Linked DNA regions of Yarrowia lipolytica. The protein of the gene in region 1 interacts with the protein of each later gene in a pairwise test. Links are inferred from orthologs where the notes say so. Each region holds a gene or a part of one and is shown on either strand. Other genes may lie near its edges.

Region 1 (2,966 bases):
AATCTGATGAGCAACAAGAACCTGGCCATGGTGTTTGCCCCAACTTTAGCACGGGCCACGTCCGGCGAACGGGAAATCGCCGACGTGCATCACAAGAGTGATTCAACGTTGTTCATGATTGAGCATTTCAAGGAGTTGTTTTAGCTATGATCAGTGTGTAGCGTATAGGCAGGTCCTTGTATTTATATAACGGATTACATAATTATGGAACAGCTTGTGATCAAGCAAACTAATGAGCGCGGGAGTATATTATCTAGCTGGAGGACCTGATGGAACGAGTCACCATATTCAGCAAACACAACCAATGCTGCGGACATTTCTATTGTCGATACTTGTGAAGAGCTACTCAACTTGTTAGTAAGGCTACAGGCATCGATTAACTAATACAGCAAAGGCTCGTCTGTATTGTAGAGTCGTCTACGTATCAGAAATATGTGTAATTACTGCACCAATCGGGTAGCCTCTACTGTCTTGTGCAATATACAATAAATTAGTTATGATACGAAAGCCCCTTCCTGGCTTAGAGCGTAAACTCATCGAGAATATCCTGTTTGGAAGCTCGTTTAGGAAAAGTGAAGCTGTCAGTGTCTCTAATAGTGATGATGCATCCGTAACAAAGGTTGGGTACTGGCAGATGTCTATCCGCATCACCCGTCTTTTCCTGGGATTTTTCCATATGCGCCTTTTTACTTAGCTCCTCCTCTTCTTCTGTTTCGGGGGCAGCAGGCTCATTGACGGTGATGTTTGTGAGCCATGCAAGCGACTGGTTAGGGTCAACTGGGGATGCACAGATGAGGCAGGGAGTGAGTCCTTGTTTGGCAGCATTAGGGTCATCCAATTTGGCAGCGGTTCTCACGACTGTCGATGCAATAGAGGGGAAGTTTGTCTGGATATTTTCAAAGTATTGGTGCATGAGCTGATCTATCGACAGGTTCTTGGTCACCTGCGAGGGCTTTGAGACGGTGTCGACAGCGAGATCAGACACGTTTCTGAACGAGTTGTAAAAGGGAATCTCGTAGGAAAGCACATCGTTAAGAGGATGGATTTCGGGGAGACCAGAAATGGAGTCCTTGGGGTTCTTATGTTCGAGCACCTGTGCGTGAATTCGGTTTCCTCGCCCCTTGATTGTCAGACTGAGAGTTAGTTCTGCCAACCGGGTAGCATTGTGTCCCCATGCTACGGTTGTAGGAAGGGATTCATTTTGCTTCTTAGCTTCTTCAATGATGAGATGGCGTTGGAGCACAGAAATGATGTCTTCTCGAGCAGATTTTGTGCCGATACACGAAAGCAGCTGCTGCACAGAGGTGGGTTCCTCGGATATACCGGACACGAACGAGGTGTAATCTCTGTTGTGTTTAAGAGTGACAGAAGAAGCGCCCTCAAAAGCCTTTGAAAGCGGAATGCAGGTAAATTTGGCATGTGCGAACCGTTTCTCCAGCTCGCTGATGATCTGATTGGGCTCCTTTTCCAGTGGATCAGCTTCAGAACAGTCGATGAACACGGCGTTGAGAGTGAAGCCTGCAGCGTTTTCATACGTCTTGGCCTGTTCTTCCAGCTGGGCGTGCGCCATGTCGAGCAAAGCCAGTGACGACTGACCAAACGAGATTGGCACCAGAATGTTAATAGCTGGAGGAAGTACACAGCCTGGTCGTGCAAACAACACCTTGCATCCCTCCATGGCCTTTCTCTGTTTCTGCTGAATAAAGGTGATGAAACAAGGCTGGCAAAAGTTTGCCTGGCGCGTTTTGATCGCCGTTGGACCGTCGCATCTTCGGCAGGTGGACTCGGCGGACATGATAAATACTTTGACGTTGGTTTGAGGTTCAAGTGTGGTTCATCCAACGATTCGGAATCATATTGGGAAATTTCATCTTGTGCATCCCAGACGCACAACAGAGTTTGTTGCCTCCATACCAACCCTTGCCCGCTATCTACAGTGGATTCTCTCTCAATACCCTCGATATCAAGACAATGGCGGACAAAAGCAATTCGGAAGACAACAAACCCAAGTTCATGAAGAACGAGGATGGCACTCCCATGACCCAAGAACAGCTGCGTCAAAAGTACGGCGTGGACTTCACCAAGGAGGGTCGGGACGGAAAACTCAAGTACGGACCCGACGACCCCACTGCCATGTCCAACCGGGTGCAGTTTCTGGCCAAGGCCGACTCACAGTACTACGATCCATGTGCCGAGGCCTCCAAAATGTCGCTCAACTGCCTGGAGCGAAACAACTACAAGAAGGCCATGTGCGAGGAGTACTTTCAGATTTACCGGGACTGCAAGAAGATGTGGGTGAGTAATAAAAAGCAAAGTGGCGAAATTTTTGAAACGGAGAATATAACTAACCCAGCTGGCGCAGCGACGGAAGGACAAGAAGAGTGGTTTCCTCTGGTAGACCAGTACCTGTATATATTGTTATTAACGTGGAATGTCTGTGTACCATATGAAGCGTACATGGTGTAGGTGGACGTAGATGGATGATCTACCACGTGGAGAGATGATCAGGATGGTTGAAAATGATGTTTGATCAGGATTAGAGAGAATCACGTCTCGCATCTGCTCAGATTGAATATCATGTGTCCGCTAAACTTCACAAGGGTCTCTCGATGTAATACCGCACAAAGCCCAGGCCCTTGCCCAGATCATAGGAAGATCACATATAACCATTACTGTAAGGATATTTCTATACGAGTCATTTACTGCGTAATATATCCATTCTTTCATAGACTCTAAGCCCCGTTTTTGGACTTAGCGATTAGAAACTTCCCATGGAATCATCGCTATCCAGCTCCCCCCCAGCTTCCCGAAGAGCTCCCTGAACGACCCGTCGTGCACTATCTTTAGCCGGAGTGAACTGCAACCGCGAAGTGTCGAATTTGATGGTCACTGGAGGCGACAGATCCGGGGGCTGAAACGATTCACCGGAATCGTTGAATGAAAGCATGTCGTATTTGGCAGAGGGG
Region 2 (1,822 bases), on another chromosome or scaffold:
TATGGGCCATTGGCAGAACCAGAAGGAGCAGACCAAGTCAAACGGTGATGGTACTGCTGTTACTACTAATGGCTCCGTTTCTGCACCTACCGCTACACCTACCGCCACGCGCAGCGACCACGTGGTCCCCTTTGCCGTCGTGGGCGTGGTGTCCGATGGCTCGCCTGCTTCTTCGGTGGGACTCAAAATCAACGACAAAATCGTACGACTGGGAAACGTGGAGGCTACTACTCCTCGTATCCCTCAAGCCTTGCCTCTCGCGGTTGTTGAAGGAGTGAGTATTATATTATGACATGGATGGGTTGGCTATGTGACTCTGAACAGGTTGTTTGTTTGTTTGTTTGCTAACACAGAACCCCGTGGATGTGGTGGTTCTCCGAGAAGAAGAAACTCTCACCCTCACGCTGCTCCCAGCCAAGTGGGAAGGAAATGGGCTTATCGGGGCGGCATTGAGACTGCTGTAAGTCGGTTCTTCCGCGACCCATGCTTATCGGCTCATTTTGACCCAGCTCTCTTTCTCTCCCCCTCTTTTCCTCTAACCTCCATGAAGAGTTGAGGCAAAGATGATGACATCTCGGGGCTGCAAAATGTACTGGTCTTCGCCCTCCAGCTCCCAGTCCGAATCGTTGATGAGCACCAACACCCCGGGACGCACACTTTCGTCCTGCAAGAAGATGTTTTTGCCCTCTTCTCGCTTGTGATCCGGCATCAGAGTCTCCACCATATGGTGCAACAGCCAATTGACTGAGGAGCCCTCCGGCACGTCCAGCACGTGCTTTTTGTTGCCGTCGAAGGCGGTTTCGAGCCCTCCACTGGGTTAGTTGACGTCGCGGGTGTTTCCTGCGCCTCTTGCTACTCACCTGAATTCCACAGTAATTTGCATGGTGTGCGGTTGGTATAGGCAAGAAGATGATGCATGCTTTTATTAATATAGGCACTTGATCTTGATTCTGCCTACAAGTAGATTAGGGTTACGACGAGGGGCATCTTTCTGTTGCTTTTGTGGCTAAAAGAGAAGTAGTGGCGACATCTGAACTGCTCCTTGATATATAATATGACTGATTAATGCATCATTTCAAATTTCAGCGTCAAGGCTGCCTTATTGCGATTGTTTTCGTTACTTATTAATATTCAACAAAAAATTGATATATAGTTATTTTTGTACTTGACATTTATAAAGTGTACTTTGGAGACGTGAGTTCAAATCTCACCGAGGACACAACTTGAAAATTTTGAGACAATTTGAGGGAAAAGATAAAAAAATTACCAAAATCGTCAGAAACGGTCAGAAACTTGTGAACTACTCAACCAATGCTTCATAAAACACTTTTGGTACTTCGACTCAACATGTAATTATGTAATTATACTCACACGTAACTAGATCCACATTACAACAGTTTTTCCCCTCTCACCTCACGCCCCCAACCCCTCCCACAATTACTAAGCAGCTACTCACCATTACTAAGCAGTCACATCATTACTAAGCTACCGTACCATTACTAAGCAAAAAACCACCATTACTAAGCAGCCACATTAGGTTGAAGTTATGGGGAATGGCGTCAGAACAGCAGAGTAAAACGGAGAGGCCTGCCATAAAATGGACTGACTATGGGAAATGTGGGTGTCACGTGAACGCCTGGAGTGGCTACCCAGCGTATGTGGTTCTTGTCTTTTTCCGCGCGGATTTTCCCCGTCAATTCGAAATTCCACGGCGTTCCATCAGCATCCACCAGTCACTTCTTGAGTCAGAGTGCCGTATGTTGTCTGAGATAGTGTGTGTACTGTATGTAGAAGAAAGAAAAAAAAAAAAGACATGGTGGGT
Region 3 (2,935 bases), on another chromosome or scaffold:
TCGATTACTTTACAGTACATAATAACCGACCAATCGCTTCAAATTCGTATCACATTCATACATTCTGATCTCGTGTAAAGTTCCATATCATCCTATCTCCCGTCTCTCATGTAAGCCACCAAGCCACACATTGCAATAGGCATTCTTTGGGCTTATTCATGGCAAATATCATCATACGCCACCAATGCTGTACATTTAATCGGATGAACAATTTGATAGAGAGTGTGGTCTTTCTTTGGTGTCTTCTGTGCATCATATTGATATGTGTGCAACCTGATGTGCATGCTTCAGACGGAAATGACGTCATTCTGTTCACACCCATTCCTGAGCTGTTAAATTTCGTCTTCCAATCCCCTGTTTTCGCCATACTACCCTCCTTTCTCCACAATATGAATCTCATACTCGTGGCTTATCCCCACTCTCCGACTTTAGCCACACTTGTCGGACTCCGAAGAAGCAGAAATATGGGACGATAATGATTGATTGTTTCGTAATGTGGCTAATCCAGCTGTTCTGAGCCGTTCAGAGCTCCCTCTGCTTACGACTATGAGCTTAGCACGACAAATAGAGCACTTTTTAGATGCGTCTCGCTGGTGTTGATTCTTCACCCATCATGGCTACCCCATGTATCAATAAATAACTATGCTATATACCACTAAATACTCAAGGCCAGCTTCTCCAAGGTCTTGATGTTTTTAGCAGCTCCGTCAGCGCTGTCTCCCTCAATCTGCATCTTGGCTCGTCCAGCATTTAGACCCTCCAGCAAGACACAGGCCTTGCAAACGGCATTATGAGATAAATAGCCACACTTGGTGCATCTGTTGGAGAGCCCAAGGCTGGAATCAAATGCTAGAGGTACCGAACAGCCACCGGAGGGGACAGGTTTTTCCTCCACCTTGGCCTTCACAACCACAGAGCCCTTGCCTTTCTTCTCCTTCTTCTTCTTGAGCACAAAGGCTTCTCCAGAGTGAATGATGTCAATGATGGTAGACGGTCTAATGGCCTCCAAATTTTTGATCAGCGTACGAGCCGTGCCCCGGAATGCCTCGGGAGAGTATGTGCACTCGGTGGAAAAGTAGTCGAGCTTCTTGTAATGGGCATAAAGCACAATCTCCTTTTCATATGCGTACTTAAGAGGCTTACTTCTCTTGACAGGAGAGTCATCTGAACCAGTCACCAGTTCGGTACATCTATCCAGACGAGCAGTATCGCCCCGTAACAAGTTCATCAGCACTGTCTCGGCCATATCGTCAGCATTATGACCTGTGACGATATGTGCGATTCCTAGCTTGGCACTACCTCTATCAAGAGCCTGTCTTCGAAACACTCCACAGTAGGTGCAGTTGTTCTTGTTGCCGATCTGGGCCACAATCTGGTCCATGCTCCACCCGTACAGCTCACTGTAACTGACCACCTCCAGATCCATGTCGTACTGCACCTTGTTTCGCTTCACCGTCTCCAGAGAGTCGTCTCGGTAGCCATGGATACCCTCGTCGATAGAGAGCAGCACAAAGTCCACACCATAGTTGTACCGCTCATTCAGCGTTTTCATCACGTGCGCAAGCACCGTACTGTCTTTGCCACCACTGGCTCCAATGGCCACCCGTTCTCCCGGAAAGAAGAGGTTTGATTCAACAATCGTGTTGTGGATTTCGGTCTCAAACACGTTGTAGAAGCACGGTTTGCAGATGGGTTGCAGCGTCTTGGGTCGCTTCAGCATGGCCTTGCGGCACTCGCACAGCACACACAGCATTTTTCCGATCTTCTTGTGTTGTAGAAGGAGAAACGGCTAATTACTCAGCATTTTTCAAAAAATCACCCAGGTTGCGTTTTATACGCATGTTAAATGCTTATTTAGTAAGTTTATTTATGGTGGTTGTGGGTTCGATCCGGAGCCGCGTCAAAATGTTTTAATTTTGATATAATTTTGATATAACGCGCTTCTCGCATATCTGAGGAGCTTTACTGGCTTGTATAACCAAATGGTATTGATTTCAGCCTCATTCGAATCTATATACATCTAAACACGTGTGATCGTACGGCGCTGTTCCTGTTTTTTTTTTTTTCTTTTGTTTTTTTTTTTGCGAATTTTATTTTTCCGTGGATCCACACTAAGGTTATTTTCGTGCAGGGTGGTATTGGTGACGGGTCCTGTTGAGCCGCTTAATTCCATCTATACCGTCAAACAAACGCCATCACTGCGTTCCTCTCGTTTCCAGCTCTTGATTCGTATCTCTAACGATCCGCATTATCGTCTGCATTCTTACAAACCGCTCCATATCGTGGCTTAAGCCACATGCACGCACACCAAAAAGAACATAAAAAGAAAGAAAAGAAGAAAAGAAAAAGAAGAAAAAAAACACCCTGGACGAGTAGATCTGTAATGACATGATGGTTGGGAGCTTTCCTCTTACTGCGTTCTGAACCCCACATCTACCACCATGGCGACCATTGCAATTGATAGCAACCCTTTTCAGTCTCTGAAGGCGCTTTCTGAACCCCACTTTGACACTGAGCGTCCTCGAATGGTCCAGTCTTCTCCCTACACGGGTCAGGCTCACCTGCTGGACCTCGGAGGGGTGCCCCAAAACCTCCATGAGATTGTGGTTGCCCTCCGGGACCTTTTCCGGGCCGTCAAGCCCGATTATGCTGTAGGTGACTACATCGAGTCGTTCCCGTTTGAAGACCTGACTCCCCTGGTGCCCGAAGGCGTCACTCTTCACTGCGTGGCTTTCCGATCCCGGCTGTTTGAACACGTGCGAACCTCCCACGATATGCGTCAGAAGCTCTCCGACCTCGACGAGTCTTCTCATGCCGAGGCTAACAACTCTGGAGGTCTGCTCAAGTACTGGTTTGGCGTGCCCGACGAGGCCGGAAACAATCTGGCCACCTGTGTGTGGATCAGCAAGAAGCACGCTGACGACGCCACCGCTCA

What was found.
Region 2: the proteins of YALI1_B13886g (region 1) and YALI1_E23313g interact in binary tests that used the Saccharomyces cerevisiae proteins (3 or more experiments, as listed by UniProt). The link is inferred for Yarrowia lipolytica from reciprocal best matches to the Saccharomyces cerevisiae genes NCS2 and URM1.
Region 3: the proteins of YALI1_B13886g (region 1) and YALI1_D21565g interact in binary tests that used the Saccharomyces cerevisiae proteins (3 or more experiments, as listed by UniProt). The link is inferred for Yarrowia lipolytica from reciprocal best matches to the Saccharomyces cerevisiae genes NCS2 and NCS6.

The regions. Positions count from the first base shown.
Region 1 is NC_090771.1:1,386,886-1,389,851, forward strand, and holds YALI1_B13886g (uncharacterized protein), read right to left. Parts: upstream 1,796-2,966; coding exon 521-1,795; downstream 1-520. Other genes in the region: YALI1_B13828g (uncharacterized protein), read left to right, coding at 1-144; YALI1_B13888g (uncharacterized protein), read left to right, coding at 1,972-2,466; YALI1_B13915g (uncharacterized protein), read right to left, coding at 2,759-2,966. UniProt on the Saccharomyces cerevisiae protein: Plays a central role in 2-thiolation of mcm(5)S(2)U at tRNA wobble positions of tRNA(Lys), tRNA(Glu) and tRNA(Gln). May act by forming a heterodimer with NCS6 that ligates sulfur from thiocarboxylated URM1 onto the uridine of tRNAs at wobble position.
Region 2 is NC_090774.1:2,330,463-2,332,284, forward strand, and holds YALI1_E23313g (uncharacterized protein), read right to left. Parts: upstream 884-1,822; coding exon 861-883; intron 813-860; coding exon 536-812; downstream 1-535. Other genes in the region: YALI1_E23302g (uncharacterized protein), read left to right, coding at 1-274, 354-464.
Region 3 is NC_090773.1:2,155,335-2,158,269, reverse strand, and holds YALI1_D21565g (uncharacterized protein), read right to left. Parts: upstream 1,754-2,935; coding exon 656-1,753; downstream 1-655. Other genes in the region: YALI1_D21553g (uncharacterized protein), read right to left, coding at 2,196-2,935. UniProt on the Saccharomyces cerevisiae protein: Plays a central role in 2-thiolation of mcm(5)S(2)U at tRNA wobble positions of tRNA(Lys), tRNA(Glu) and tRNA(Gln). Directly binds tRNAs and probably acts by catalyzing adenylation of tRNAs, an intermediate required for 2-thiolation.